Linked DNA regions of Callithrix jacchus. The protein of the gene in region 1 purifies or fractionates together with the protein of each later gene. This does not show direct contact. Links are inferred from orthologs where the notes say so. Each region holds a gene or a part of one and is shown in the gene's direction. Other genes may lie near its edges.

Region 1 (7,804 bases):
TAAAAAAATAAAAAGAATTAAAAAAAAAAAAGAAATACATAAATACACTGCAAACCTAAATGAGACACAAGAATGAGTAACATAAAATTTAGGATAGTGGCTTCCTCTAGAGGGAGTGACAAGACTTTGAGATTAGGGAAGAGTTCACAGAGTGCTTCAAGGAGTTGGTTACATTCATTTTTCTTTTTTCTTCTTTTTTCTTTTTTTGAGACAGAGTGTCATTCTCTTTGTCACCCAGGCTGGAATGCCATGGCATGATCTTGGCTCACCGCAACCTCCACGTCCTGAGTTCAAGCGATTCTCCTGCCTCAGCCTCCCGGGTAGCTGGGACTACAAATGCCTACCACCACGCCTGGCTAATTTTTGTATTTTTAGTAGAGATGAGGTTTCACCATATTGGCTAGGCTGGTCTTGAACTCCTGACATTGTGATCCACCTGCCTCGACCTCCCAAACATTCATTTTTCTTAAACAAAATGCTGCTTATTGTTTTTCTTAAATTGCATATTTAAGTAATATAGTTTTTGTTTACATGATATATGTATACACGTAATAGAGTATACAGTATAAGTCAAGTTTTTTGGTGGGAGTTCAGCAATTGAATCAGATTTTTTTTTTTTTTTTGAGACAGAGTTTTGCTCTTGTTGCCCAGGCTGGAGTGCAATGGCACAATCTTGGCTCACTGCAACTTCTGCCTCCTCGGTTCAACCAATTCTCCTGCCTCAGGCTCTTGAGTAGCTGGAATTACAGGTGCCCAGTACAACACCCGGCTAAGTTTTCTTGTATTTTTGGTAGAGATGGGGTTTCACCATGTTGGCCAGGTCGGTCTCGAAATCCAGACCACAGGTGATTTGATCACCTCGGCCTCCCAAAGTACTGGAATTACAGGCATAAGCCACCATACCTGGCCTAACTTTTGTATTTTTAGTATAGGGGTTTTGCCATGTTGGCCAGGCTGGTCTCGAATTCCTGACTTCAGGTGATCCACTCACCTTGGCTACCAAAGTGCTGGGATTACAGGTGTCAGCCACCGCACCCAGCAGAAAGAGGATATTTCAGAATGAGGAACTAGCATAAGCACAGAGAAGGGGGAGCAATAAGAGGGAAACAGGGAGTAGGTGATTTTTGCAATAGCCTGCAATATTTGTAGGGCATTATTGGTGGGAAATAATTAAGTAAAGTTGGCTGTGGCTCATGCCCGTAATCTCAGCACTTTGGGAGGCCAAGGCGGGCAGATTGCTTGAGTCCAGGAATTCGAGGCCAGCCTGGGGAACATAGCAAGACCCTGTCTCAACAAAAAAGTAAAAAAGTAGCTGCGTGGCTACTTAACCCCAAGACTCTGGACAGAAAAAAAAACCCAAAAAAGAATAAAGAATAAAAAAAGAGAGAAAAGGAAAAAAAAAGTAGCTTCAGGTGCGATGGGGTGGCTCACGTCTGTAACCCCACCACTGTGGAAGGCCGAGGCAAGTGGATTGCTTAAGCCCAGGAGTTGGAGACCAGCCTGGGCAACATGGTGAAACCCTTGCTCTACAAAGAATCAAAAAGGAAGTTGAGTGTAGTAGTGTGTGCCTGTGGTCCCAGCTACTCAGGAGGCTGAGGGGGAAGGACCACCTGAGTCAGGAAGGTGTAGGTTGCAGTGAGCCACGTTGTTTGTGCCACTGCACTCCAGCCTGAGTGATAGAGTGAGACTCTGTCTCAAAAAATAAAAAATAAAGCTGTGGCAGAATGTGGAGATTCTTGGAAGCTAGAAGCTCTCATGGGGCATTTGTAAACCTCACACTACAAATAAGTCTTTGTATCAGTTAGGCTTCCTTAGTTTTAGGAAACAAGAAATAATTATAGCTAACTCAAGTGAAAAGAGAAAGAGAAGAGAAAAAAGATGTGGAGACAGAGAGAGAGGAAAAGACAAAAGGAAGGAAGAGGAAAAGAAGAGACGAAGAGAGAAATAGATTGATTAGTGTATTGGATAGGTTACATAACCAAGTGACCAGTCAGGAACCCAGCAGCTCTGGGGTGCTCAATGTGATGCATTGATCAACCCGCTCTTAAGAGCACTCAATTCCAACTACCTTTTATTCAGTGTGTCTCCAGCTAAGATTCTAAGTCCCCAGAGAGTCTGACTGACCTAGTGTTTGTTTCCACCTTTGTGGCCTGGGTTCTGTGCTTGCAGCTCATTAGAATACAGGGAGCAAAGACAAGCAGGTAGTTTCCCAAAGGAAGGGATGCTGAGTACATTAAAAAAAAAAAAAAAAAAGTATGGATTTTTCAGTAAACTATGGGATGGTTACTACGTAAAATCTAAGATTTCCCTTATTCAAATAAATTACCTTTCAGATTAGACATCTAAACACGCACTAATTTAGTTAAACCCCTGGGTTCGTTGATCTGATCACATGGAGCTAACATTTTCGTTGTTGTTGTTTGCAGTAATCTGAAATTTCTCTCTTCACAATTGCTTTCCTCTCGAATAATTCCTAATTCTAAATTTTTTATTTTATTTTATTTTTTTCTGGAGACGGAGTCTCGTTGTGTCGCCCAGGCTGGAGTGCAGTGGCGCGATATCAGCTAACTTGCAGCCTCTACCTCCCGAGTTCAAGCTATTCTCCTGCCTCAGTCTCCCAAGTAGCTGAGACTACAGGAGCGAGCCCTCCATCACCTCTGGCTAATTTAATTCCCAGATTGATACCCATTGCTTCTGAGATGGGTCAATTATCATTCGGAGAAGACTTAGGTCGACTGGTAGAAAAAGATGAAAGAAATGTAAGAAAACGATGACATTGAGAAAGGAGCCCTGCGAACCAGCAGAGCGACCCCAAGCTGCAATTCCCCCTTCGGTGGATCGATTACCAAGGCTTCCTGGCAGTACCTCTTCGGGGCTGCTGACGTGAGCTGAACTGCACATTGGGAATTGTAGTCGAGCAGGGAAGGAGGAGGGGCCGGCACCGCACACGCGTACAGGAGCCCAGGTCAACAAAGACGCGCCGTGCGCGCGCGCGCCGGAGAAAAACACGGGAAGACGGACGTGCGCGTGCGCGGCCGCCGCTGGGAGCCACCAAGCGGCAGAGAGGACAGCGGCAAGGAGGGAGGGGCCCAATCCACCGACTGCAGGAGGAAGAAGGGGTTGTGCTCCTGGCCGAGGAAGGAGAAAGGGGCGGGGCCGGCGGGCAGCGCGCGGCGGTGCGGAGCGCCGGAGGCCGGCGGACAGGCGGGGGTCTGTGGCCCTAGCCGTCGCAGTGGCCGCTGCTGTCGCTTGGTTGGTTCCCGTTGGTCTGCGGGAGGCGGGTTATGGCGGCGGCGGCAGTGAGAGCTGTGAATGAATTCTCCGGGTGGACGAGGAAAGAAGAAAGGCTCCGGCAGCGCCTGCAGCCCGGTGCCTCCCAGGCCTCCGCCCCCCTGCCTGGCCCCCGCCCCTCCCGCCGCCGGGCGGGCCTGTTCGCCCGAGTCGCCGCATAAGCGGAACCTGTACTACTTCTCCTACCCGCTGTTCGTAGGTTTCGCGCTGCTGCGTTTGGTCGCCTTCCACCTGGGGCTCCTCTTCCTGTGGCTTTGCCAGCGCTTCTCCCGCGCCCTCATGGCAGCCAAGAGGAGCTCCGGGGCCGCGCCAGCACCGGCGTCGGCCTCGCCCCCGGCGCCGGTGCCGGGCGGAGAGGCCGAGCGCGTCCGAGTCTTCCATAAACAGGCCTTCGAGTACATCTCCATTGCCCTGCGCATCGATGAAGACGAGAAAGGTAACTAGGGGGGCTGGGGGAGGGGGCGGCGGCACAGGGAAGAAGGCAGTGGGGTCGCCGTGGGAGTGCCACACCTGCGTCCCTTTCCTGTGGGAGGGGACGGTGCACCCCCGGAATTGATCTGCCCCGGGAGACCATCCCCGTAGATCAGAGCCTCATCTAGTATTCTCAGTCAAAATCTCTCCCCTTTCAGGGCGCCCTAACCATCGACTTTGTTTCAGACACCAGCCTTCCCCCACACTTCTGCATGACCCAAGTCACTGTGAGACACCCAGACGTGCTGATGACAGTGACAGTTGTCCTAGAGTGACCACACCGATCCTTTCTTAGCACTGTAAAGAGTGTGCGGCTTCCTCCGAGCCAAGGTTTCCAAAAGGTTTTGATACTGAAGAAGCAGTGCCTTGTTACAGGCTTTTAATGAAAGCAGGGTACTATAGTGTCAGAAAGAACAAATGACAGTTTTGCAAGGAATAGCTGCATATGACTGCAGTTGAATTTGCATCATTTTTATCAAGATAATCATTTTATCTGTACAATGATTCCTGAATGCTTTTCAGTGTAGTTACATTTAGCATAAAACTTTTCCCCCTGGTTTGATTTTACTTAAAGCAGTTTTCAAAGATAGCCTTTAATTTCCAAGTTGAAATATTTAATGAATGAATTGCATAAATGTAAACATATCACTTTACAATGAAACCTAAAACATATGTTTCTGAATGAAAGCAAGGATACTACATCCTTCGGGTTTTTTTTTTTTTTTTATTGAGACGGGGTTTCACTGTTGTCCAGGCTGGAGTGCAATAGCGCGACCTTGGCTCACTGCAACCTCCGCCGCCCGGGTTCAAACGATTCTCCTGCCTCAGCCTCCTGAGTAGCTGGGATTACAGGCATTCGCTACCACGCCCGGCTAATTTTATAATTTTAGTAGAGACGGGGTTTCCCCGTGTTGGTCAGGGTCGTCTCCAACTCCTGATTTCAGGTGATCCACCCGCCTTGGCCTCCCAGAGTGCTGGGATTACAGGCGCACCCGGCCTCATGTTTCTTTTAAGCTAACATTTTTTAGTATATGTGCCAGGCATTGTGCTATTAGCTTTGTATGTGTTATCTTTTTTCTTTTTTTAAAAAAAATAGCAACTATCCCAGACCATGAAAAGTGTTATTTAATCCTCACAATAACGCTGTGAGATGAAGGTATTATTGGTATCAGCATTTTAGAGGTGAAGAAAATGAGGCTCAAAACATAAAGCAGGTCATTCCAAACCTATGCTAATAGTTAATGAAAAAATTTTTATGGAAAGTAAGTGAAATAAGAAGTCTCACTTTTACAATTCCCTCCTTTTATCCTTATTTCGAGTATGCTGAGAGCTTGCTTCTCCCTCTGCCTAAGAAACCCACTTTTCTCCCACACCTCAATTAGATGCTCACTTGCATTGTCCATTAATGAAAACAGGAGCAATCTGCACTTCATTCATAGTGTCTCTCTCTACTACCAACACCAAAAACTGTTCTAGAATTTCAATCTTGTTGAAACCTATTTTCTTTGTGGGGCCCGGGAGTGGGAAGTAGGATATAGGGAAAGAAGCATGTATTCATGGTTTTGGACAGAGGTCAAGGAGGGAGATAACTTTTAAGAATACTATGTGTTTGTGGAAAGAAAGTTTTTGTTAACTGCTCCATTCTTTTTTTTTTTTTTTTTTCCTGAGACGCAATCTCACTCTGTCACCCAGGCTGGAGTGCAGTGGTGTGATCTCAGCTTATTGCAACCTCCGCCTCCCAGATACAAGCACTTTGCCTGCCTCAGTCTCCCGAGTAGCTGGAACCACAGGTGCACCCCACCATGGCCGGCTAATTTTTTGTATTTTTAGTAGAGACAGGGTTTCACCATGTTGGTCAGACTGGTCACAAACTCCTGACCTCAAGTGATCTGCCTGACCTCCCGAAGTGCTCAGATTACAGGTGTGAGCCACCATGTCCGGCCAGCAAGCTCCATTCTTTATCACCTCTTAGGAACATCCAGGATCCCTTGGAGAGAATGAAAATGGTTGTGATGTTTTAGAATAGAAGAGCATGTTTAAGAGTAGATCATTTTTTGGGCCCGGCAAGGTGGTTCACACCTATAATCCCACTTCAGGTGACAGATCAAGACTCTGTCTCAAAAAAAAAAAAAAAAAAAAAAAGAAAAGAAAAGAAAAGAAAATAGTAGATCATTTTTTGCTGAGCACCATGGCTCATGCCTGTAATTCTAACACTTTGGGAGGCTGAGGGGGTGGATCGTTTGAGCCCATGAGTTAGAGTCCAGCCTGGGCAACATAGTGAAACCCTGTCTCTATGAAAAACACAAAAATTAGCTGGGCGCAGTGGCGATGCCTTTAATTTCAGCTACTTGAGGGGCTGAAGTAGGAGGATCACTTGAGCTCTGGTTGTTCAGGATGCAGTGAGTTGAGATCACGCAATTGCACTCCCGACTGGGTGACGGGAGTGAGACCCTGTCTCTAAGATTGTTTTAGTTGTTGTATTTAGGAAGAGAATGTCAGAACATGCAAGGAAATTTTATTTATTTGTTTATTTGTTTATTTTGAGATGGAGTCTTGCTCTGTTGTCCAGGCTGGAGTGCAGTGGGATGATCTCGGCTCACCATAAGCTCTGCCTCCCTCCCAGGTTCAAGTGATTCTCCTGCCTCAGCCTCCCTAATAGCTGGGACTACAGACACGCACCATCCTGCCTGGCTAATTTTTGTATTTTTAGTGGAGACGAGTTTCCACCAAGTTGGCCAGGCTGCTCTCAATCTCCTGACCTCAAGTGAACCGCCTGCTTTAGCCTTCCAAAGTGCAGGGATTACAGGTGTGAGCCACTGTGCCCAGCCACAAGGAAATTTTAGTTAACACTGTTGGGTGACAAGAGCTGGGAAGTAGGATAAAAGGAGAGATTAAGGAAAACCTAGGTATGAAAAATAAAAGACCCTCAGCTCTTAGATTTGAAGAAATAGCAGTTCCATGTAAGGAATAAACGAAATAGAATTCAGACCTCAGGTCTCAAGCTGGTGACTTTGAGTATCACATAGATATATATGTCTATTATACTTAAATCCTCTTAAACATTTTTATTTTTCTCTGAGAACATACTTAAGCTAAAAAAATTTATTTTTCAGTTGGATACATTAAATATGTAAAAAAAATTATTTTATTTTATCTATTTTAGAGACAGGGGCTCATTCTCTTACCCAAACTGGAGTGGAAAGTTATCATAGTGATCCTCAAGTGATCAAGACTCAAGTGATCCTCTTTTTTTTTTTTTGGCTAGAGGTTGGATCTTGTTATGTTGGCCAGGCTGGAGAAACTTCAGCAATATTTTCATTGATCTGTATGCTGCATATTTCATACTCTTTCTACTGACAATGTTTCTGTTCACAACTTTTTAAAAAATTCATATTTTGATTTCTAAAGTGGACATCAGAATGGGCTATTGACAACTCATTAGTTTCATTTGAGTTCAACAACTGATGCTGTCATATGCCAAATTAAATTAGTTCAGACTGAAACAGATTAGTTACAGATTCATTTTCCTTTAAACATGAAGTAAAACTGTCCGGGTGCGGTGGCTCATGTCTATAATCCCAACACTTTGGGAGGCTGAGGCTGGCAGATCATGAGATCAGGAGATCGAGACCATCCTGGCCAACATAATGAAACCCTGTCTCTACTAAAAATACAAAAATTAGCCAGGAGTGGTGGCATGCGCCTGTAGTCCCAGCTATTCAGGAGGCTGAGGCAAGAGAATTGCTGGAATGCGGAAGAGGGAGATTGCAGTGAGCTGAGGTTGGACTCCAGCCGGGTGACAGAGGAGACTTCTTCTCAGGGAAAAAAAAAAAAAAGGTAAAACTTCAGCTGGGTGTGGTGGCAGGCACTTGTAATCTCAGCTACTCTGGAGGATGAGGCAGGAGAATTGCTTGAACCCAGGAGGTGGAGTTTGCAGTGAGCTGAGATCTTGACATTGCACTCCCGCCTGGGTAACAAGAGTGAAACTCCATCTGAAAAAAAGGCTGGGCTCAATGTCTCCAGCCAGGTGCCTTGGCTCATG
Region 2 (7,946 bases), on another chromosome or scaffold:
GGCAGCAGAGTGAGACTCTGTCTCAAGGTAAAAAAAAAAAAAAAAACAAAAGGCCTGGAACCATGGATCATGCCTGTAATCCCAGCACTTTGGGAGAGCGAGGTGTGTGGATCACAAGGTCAGGAGTTTAAGACCAGCCTGGCCAATATGGTGAAACCCCGGTCTCTACTAAAAATATAAAAATTAGCTGGATGCGGTGGCACATGCCACCAACCAGTACACATACCAACCAGTACTCAAGGGGCTGAGGCAGGAGAATCAGTTGAACCTGGGAAGCAGAGGTTGCAGTGAGCCATGATCATACCACTGCACTCCAGCCTGGGTGACAGAGCAAGACTATGTCTCATACACAAAAAAAACTTAGGCCACATCTTCAGCACATTGCCTCTGGCTTGATCTGAGATGGATTCTTCTTTCCTGAGACAGAGTTTCTAAAAAACAAAACAAAACAAACAAAAAAAAGAGACAGAGCTTCACTCTTGTCACCAAGGCTGGAGTGCTGTGGAGCAATCAGCCAACTGCACCCTTTGCCTCCAAGGTTAAAGCAATTCTTCTCCCTTAGCCTCCCAAATAGCTGGGATTACAGGCATGGGCCACCACATCTAGCTAATTTTGTATTTTTAGTACAGACAGAGTTTCACCATGTTGGTTAGGCTTGCTGGCCTCAATCTCCTCATCACTTTGAGTGATTCACTGGCCTCGGCCTTCCAAAATGCCAGGATTACTGGCATGAGCTGCTGTGCCCAGCCGATCTGAGATGGATTCTAAGCCTGACTTTGGAGTGACTTAAAAATGATTTCTGGTTTGATTCTTGTGCAACAGGTATGCTTTATTTTAGATGATTTTTAATTCTAGAAATACTTTGCTCTTTTTCTCTTAATAAGTTTCTATTATACCTCAAGTTGGAGTATCGCCTGCATAATTGAAGACTTTTCCAGAGTTAAATACAATTTGAGAGTTAACCACTCTAGAGAGAGGAGGAGGAAAAGAGAGGGCAAGGAGCCACTGATGGAAGAGTGAAAAGAGAAAAATAATTTGTAAACGAATTGTTTTTCCAATGGTATTCCATTAGGATTATCTGAAAAAGGATACATAAACGATTTCATCAAAACCTTATTCTTTGAAATCTATAGAGAGGTTGAGGAAGGAAAAGGTCCATATATAGTATATGTAGTCAAAATACAGAACAAGGATAGCTCTGTTAGCTGTAGTTTTCCTTTTTCACTATTCTATTAATAAGCCTATTTGAATGATTGGGTAAAATGACTGGTATATATCAGTCTTAGACCAAAGAATATTGCCAATACATTTTCCTCAATGTTACCTAGCTCTTGGTCAGACAATCTAAGTACTTTTGTTATCTTCAAATGTCATTTTGTCAGCCTTAAAAGAAAAATAATAAAGGAAGTATAGCACTAAGATTTGTTTTTTTTTTTTTTGAGACGGAGTTTTGCTCTTGTTACCCAGGCTGGAGTGCAGTGGCGGATCTCGGCTCATCGCAACCTCCGCCTCCTGGGTTCAGGCAATTCTCCTGCCTCAGCCTCCCGAGTAGCTGGGACTACAGGCGTGCACCACCATGCCCAGCTAATTTTTGTGTTTTTAGTAGAGACGGGGTTTCACCATGTTGACCAGGATGGTCTCGATCTCTTGACCTTGTGATCCACTCGTCTCGGCCTCACAAAGTGCTGGGATTATAGGCGTGAGCCACCGCGCCCAGCCAAGATTTGTTTTTTTTGAGATGGAGTCTCACTGTGTTGCCCAGGCTGGAGTGCAGTGTCGAGATCTTGGCTCACTGCAACCTCCACCTCCCGGGTTCAAGCGATTCTCCTGTTTCAGCCTCCCGAGGAGCTGGGATTACAGGCATGCGCCACCATGCCCGGCTAATTTGTATTTTTAGTAGAGACAGGGTTTCTTCATGTTGGTCAGGCTGGTCTCGAAGTCCCGGACCTCACGTAATCCGCCCGCCTAGCCCTCCCAAAGTGCTAGGAGTACAGGCGTGAGCCACTGCGCCCGGCCTGTATTCTAAGTAGAGACGAGGTTTCCTCATGTTGGCCAGGCTGGTCTCGAACCCCTGACCTCCAGTGATCCGCCCACCTAGGCCTGCCAAAGTGCGGAGATTAGAGGAGTGAGCCACCGCGCCCAGCCTTCAGTGGTGTCGATTTTGTCCGGGTGCTTCTTGTATGTGTTCTAGTGTGGGAGTGGCGGCGATTGCTTTCCAGCACAAATCCGTTTGACTGTCGGGGTTTGGACAAGCAGCTGCGACGACACTAAAGTGGAGACCAGGATGGGGCGAGGACTCCCAGCGTTGGTAGAGGTTGTACGCTCACTGGGGCCCTAGCGCTGCCCGAGTTCGCACCAGCGCCGCAAAGCTCACGCACGCGCAGTCGCACCGTCTCTGGCCCCAGGGTCCTCCCGCCCCTCCCGCCGTCTCCGGGGGCCTTTTCTCCGCCCGGCGCGGGGATGTCCGCGGTGCCGCCTGATCCTGTGAGCGCGGTACCGTGAATGCAGTCTGCCCTCGGCGCTCTTCTCCCTGACGTGCTGTCGAGGCCAGAAAGGAAGGACCCGCTCAGAGGACCGCAGACGGGTGGCTGAGAGGAGAGGCCCCCGCAGCATTGAGGGTTTGGGCTTGCAGGCGCTGCAGGAGGCGCCCAGCGGGGTCCTCTCTTAGCCAGCTCTGAGCTGGAGGCCTGAGCGGGAAGCATTGGCGGTGGGGCGACTTCCAGGAGGCTGGAGTGTAGCGCTATGGAGGAGCTTGATGGCGAGCCAACAGTCACTGTAAGGGCGCCCCGAAAAGGCTTGTTCGTCCTTGCGGCTCCAGAACTGCGTCTGCTTCGTTAGTTCAGGCTTGTCTGCTTCCCTCCTGGCCGCTAGGCGCTCGTCCCCTACCCTTGACTCAGTTGCCACTGTCCGAAGGTCGCAGTGTTAACGAAGTGCCCGCCCTCGAGTTGCAGTGGTTGCAGGGTTTCTGCCACCAGTCACAAGTCCTGGCCCCGAAGGTCCCACTCCATCCCTTTCCCTCCTTTGTCTTCCTGGCCTTTCTATTTCCCTCGCTTTTCCTCTTGGGCAGTAGAGTGGGTTCAGCCCGAGCAGAAGTATTGATGTTTTTCTTCTAGCTATGTTAAGCTTTGCAAGCGGTACATTGAGCTTCTGCCTGTGTGGTCTAAGGTTTATTGAACGTATTTATTCTCTGGGGAGACTGTTAAAACGTGCGCTTTGAATGAAGATACACCCAGACTTTGTGTGAGCAACATGGCTGTTTATTCACCTGGGTGTGGGCGGGCTGAATCCGAAAAGAGTCAGCGAAGGGCGGTGAGATAGGAGTTGGTTTTATAGGTTTGGGGTGGGCAGTGGAAAGTTAGAGTGACTTGTAGCCACGGATGGGGAGGCGGTGTCCCTCACCCTAGGGTTAAGGTAGGGGGACATAAGAGGAGCTATTCAGGAGGTATGGGTTCGGGGAGGAGGGCGCCAGTGAGGTGTGGCTATAGCCCAGGAATAGTTAAGGAGGCAGACAATTTTGCTAGGATATCTTGGCCTAACAGAGGAATTGGACAAGTGGGACTGATTAGGAAAGAATATGGAAAGTGGTGCTGGCCTAATTGACACCAGACTTGGGGAGTTTTGAGAGGCCTGGAGACCTTGCCGTCAATTCCCACAACAGTTATGGAGGCCAAGGAGACAGGTCCTTGAAAAGAAGGCAGTGTGGAGTGTGTGGCTCCGGGTTGATTAAGAAGGGGATGGACTTGACCTCCACCAGTTACTCGAAGCGCAGTGTTTGTGATGTTCCAGGGAGCCTCTGAGATGTTCAGGCAGCATCAGTCTTCAGCCACCAAGCCAAGGAGATCAGGGAAAGAGTCAGCCTGAGGGCTCCCGGGTTGGGCTCCTGGAGACTTAAAGACAGCAGTTTGAGTCTGGCAGTCCTACCTCCATTGGGGTCCCACACAGACAGGACATGGCTTAGGAAGAATCCCGGTTGGGAGGCTGAGGCGGGCGGATCACGAGGTCAAGAGATCCAGACCAGCCTAGCCAACATGTTGAAACTCCGTCTCTACTTAAATACAAAAATTAGCTGGGCATGGTGGCGCGCGCCTGTAGTCCCAGCTGCTTGGGTGGCTGAGGCAAGAGAATTGCTTGAACCCAGGAGGCGGAGGCTGCAGTGAGTCGAGATCCCGCCACTGCACTCCAGACTGGCGACAGAGTAAGACTCTGTCTCAAAAAAAAAAAAAAAAAAATCCGGGCTGCAGGCATTCCTTGGCTCAGTGGCCAGGTTCTCGGCATTTGAAGCAAGGCTTTGGGGAAGGAGGTCCTGAAGAGAAGTCTGGACGCTGTGGGTTTGGTGGTCTGAAACTTCTGTGAGCCGAAGAAGAAGTAGCTGTGGTCTATCTTACAGAGGAGGCAAGCATTTGTAATTCCGAAATACGCTGCCCCTGGGTAGCTTTTTCCCTATTATTTAACACCTTAAAGGTGAGGTCAATTAATTCCTGTTGTGGGGTTTGAGGGCCAGATTCTAATTTCTGTGGCTTTTTGTAATGTTAGGGACTCAATGGGTGATAAAATGCATATCAAGCATTCTTCAGGGGTGAGAGTAGAAGTAAGGATGACATTTAAGTCACTCCAGGCGAGATTACAGGCCTGGGTTAAGTATTGGAGGATCTGATGTAAAAGAGCCTAACCATTGGCTGATTTGGGAAAGGTCGGATAAAGAGAAAGGAACCTGCACCCTAACTATGCCTTTGGCTCCAGCCACCTCTCGAAGAGGGAATTGTCAGACAGGGGTGGAGGAGGTAGCCACAGGACTAAACTGCAAGCTGGGGCACTTATGAGGTGGCGAGGTGACAGGAGGGGCATAAGGAAATGGGTTGTGGGCAGAGGAAGAGGAGGAAAGCTCTAGGGGTTGGGCTTAGGTCCTGGATTAGGGCCTGGTTCCGACAGGCAGGGAGGAGAAAGGTCGGAAGGGTCGATGGACAAGGAGAATTCTAGGTTGCTGGCAGAGGCAGGAGGGGCAGATGGAAGGGAGAGAAGGAAAATTTGGGATGGGTTGCATTGAGAACAGAGATTAGGGAGAGATTGGTGTGTAAAAAAAAATGCCTGGACGTAGAGAATTTGCCCATTTTACTACGAAAGTTATCTAGATCCTGTAGGATAGAGAAATTGAAGGTACCATTTTCTAAATGGACAATGGACATTTAGAGCCATTGTCCAATTTATATCATGGTCAAGCAGTATTGCAGAAGAAAATAAGATGCTTAGGTTTTAGGTCAGGTGATAGCCGGAGAAGTTTGAGGTTTTTTAGAACGTAGGCTAAGGGAGAGGAGGGAGGAATGGAGGGTAGGAGTTTGCCCATAGTTTAAGAAGAGCGGGGCTCGGCGCGGTGGCTCATGCCTGTAATCCCAGCGCTTTGGGAGGCCGAGGCAGGTGGATCACGAGGTCAAGAGATTGAGACCATCCTGGTCAACATGCTGAAACCCCATCTCTACTAAAAACAAAAAATAAGCTGGGCATGGTGGTGCGTGCCTGTAATCCCAGCTACTCAGGAGGCTGAGGCAGGAGAATTGCCTCAGGAGGTGGAGGTTGTGGTGAGCCGAGATCGCACCATTGCACTCCAGCCTGGGTAACAAGAGCGAAACTCTGTCTAAAAAAGAAAAGAGCGGCGGAAAAAATAAAAAATTAAAAATTAAAAAAAAAAAACAACAAAAAAGACGAGCGGTGGAGACAAGGAAAGTGAATGCATGACCAAGCAGTTTAGCAGACATCCCAGACTAAATCTTGGTCTGAACCTGGGGTGAATCGGTCAAAGGGGGCGTCCCCCGTATTGATCTATCACCTGTGAGTGTGAGTGAGTGACCAGAGCAGATGTCTCCGCAATGATCAGTCACTGATGGAAGACTGTCTTCCCAGTTCCGTGACCTACGTAGGATTTTTTTCTGGTCATGAACCTCACAGAAAGTCCTGTCTTTCTTGTCTCTGATGAAAGGGAGAGAAAAATGAAACTGAGGGGAGACAAAGCTTGACAGGTAGCATGAAGGGCTAAAGAGAAAAGTTGAGGCAAACCACTTACCTGAGCTGAGAGGATGGTGAGTAGATCTGTGGGCTGGTCTGATGAATCTAGGTCATAGGTAGGTCTCTCCATGGAGGGAGCCCAAGGAGAACAGGACCGGGGTTTGGTCTCCTGTAGTAGTTCCCCCATCCCAGGTTTCTGGCACCAAATGTTAAAATGTGCACTCTGAATGAAGGGACCCCGCCCCCCAAAACAGCCTTAGTGTGTGAGCAGCATGGCTATTTATTCACCTGGGTGTGGGCAGGCTGAGTCCGAAAAGAGTCAGTTAAGGGCTGTGGGAGAGGAGTTGGTTTTATAGGTTTGGGGTCAGCAGTGGAAAGTTACAGAAGTTACAGTTTAGGGCGGGGTTTTTGCAAGCTGAGATGGGGGTCTTAAGTTTGCAAGCTGCGAGGAGGTTGTAGAGTGCGGAGTCCAGGTTGACCTAGACCAGGCTGACCAAGGTTGGTTACAAAATCCAATGGCCTTATCAGTTGGGGCAGGAATAAGGAACAATACAGAATGTCTCAAAGGGGTTGATCATTTCTTCTTCTTTTCATGGTTTTCCAGTTATTTCAGATTTTCCAGGAACTCATCTGGAGTCACAGAGGTTAACATGGCATCCATGGCGCTGTCAGTCAGCCTAAAAGACCTTACAGACTATTCCCGTTTTATCGCTGTGCATTCAATTCCATTTGAACTTTGAAGAGAGCATGTCAAATATGGATAATCTGTGATGTGTATACAGAAATTCATGGGCTTTATGTAGGAGATACCTACTGTTTTCGCTACTTGGAATGCTCTTCTCTTCCCTCTTTTTTTTGTTAACTGAAAAGTGACTGAGGCAAGCCTCAATCAGTAAAGGTTTATTTAGCTAAGGTTGAGAATCCAACCAGGAAAAAACACAGGTCACAGGAGAATGTGTGACTTGTGCTTTTGCCAAAGATAGGTTTGGGAACATCATTCCTTAAAGAGGAAGGAGCAGCTGGGCGCGATGACTCATGCCTGTAATCCCAGCACTTTGGGAGGCCGAGATGGGTGGATCATGAGGTCAGGAGTTCAAGACCAGCCTGGCTAACATGGTGAAACCCCATCTCTTAAAAAAAAAAAAAAAAAAAAAAAAAAAGAGGAAGGAGCTAGCAGGAGGGGGAAAATATGGGAGGCTAGGCAATGAGGAGGCAAATGGTTACATTCTTGTGAGTCTCTGATTAGCCTCAGTAAATTTGCATTTTACCTGTGAAAAGAGGGAGTAGACAAAACATTTATGCATTCATCTTAGGTAGGTAGAGGGATGATTTCTTATCTTTTCTTTTTTTATTGGGACAGTCTTGCTCTCTTGCCTAGGCTGGAGTGCATTGGTGCGATCTCAGCTCTCTGCCACCTCTGCTGTTCAAGCAATTCTGCCTCAGCCTCCTGAGTAGCTGGGATTACAGGTGTGTGGCACCATGCCCAGCTAATTTTTTTTTTTTTTTTTTTTTTTTTTTTTAGTTGAGACAGGGTTTCACCATGTTGACCAGGCTGGTCTTTAACTCCTGACTTTGTGATCTGCCTATCTCAGCCTCCCAAAGTGCTGGGATTACAGGTGTGAGCCACCGCATCTGGTTGATTTCTGGTCTTGTACTTGTGAAGATAAGCTGGTAGCTGACGTTGTCAGGGTGAGAATCAACAGCCCTCATTTTTAGGACTAGTTTATAGGAGGAGGTTTCTCCTGAAAAATGTTAAGGCTCACAAGGAATTTCCTTGTGAGCAATTTCTTAGGGAGGCTATCTGGGGAGATACGTGGCCTTATAAAGTGGGAAACTGGCTTGTGGATGAAGCTGTGACATAGGGTTTGAAATAATAGCCCTCTAGGAACAAAAGGAAGGCAATATTGTGTGATACAATTCCCTAGCTTAACTTTCCCTTTAGCATAGTA

The links. The genes of interacting proteins can lie anywhere in the genome.
Region 2: the proteins of SPAST (region 1) and NUP85 purify together in Homo sapiens (affinity purification with mass spectrometry; 3 studies listed by BioGRID and IntAct, counting the BioPlex papers as one, with this or other methods). This does not show direct contact. The link is inferred for Callithrix jacchus from reciprocal best matches to the Homo sapiens genes SPAST and NUP85.

Annotation. Positions count from the first base shown.
Region 1 is NC_133515.1:82,910,422-82,918,225, reverse strand, and holds the start of SPAST (spastin), read left to right. Parts: upstream 1-3,027; 5' UTR 3,028-3,312; coding exon 3,313-3,727; intron 3,728-7,804. UniProt on the Homo sapiens protein: ATP-dependent microtubule severing protein that specifically recognizes and cuts microtubules that are polyglutamylated.
Region 2 is NC_133506.1:131,120,687-131,128,632, forward strand, and holds the start of NUP85 (nuclear pore complex protein Nup85), read left to right. Parts: upstream 1-2,666; 5' UTR 2,667-2,742; coding exon 2,743-2,775; intron 2,776-7,946. UniProt on the Homo sapiens protein: Essential component of the nuclear pore complex (NPC) that seems to be required for NPC assembly and maintenance. As part of the NPC Nup107-160 subcomplex plays a role in RNA export and in tethering NUP96/Nup98 and NUP153 to the nucleus.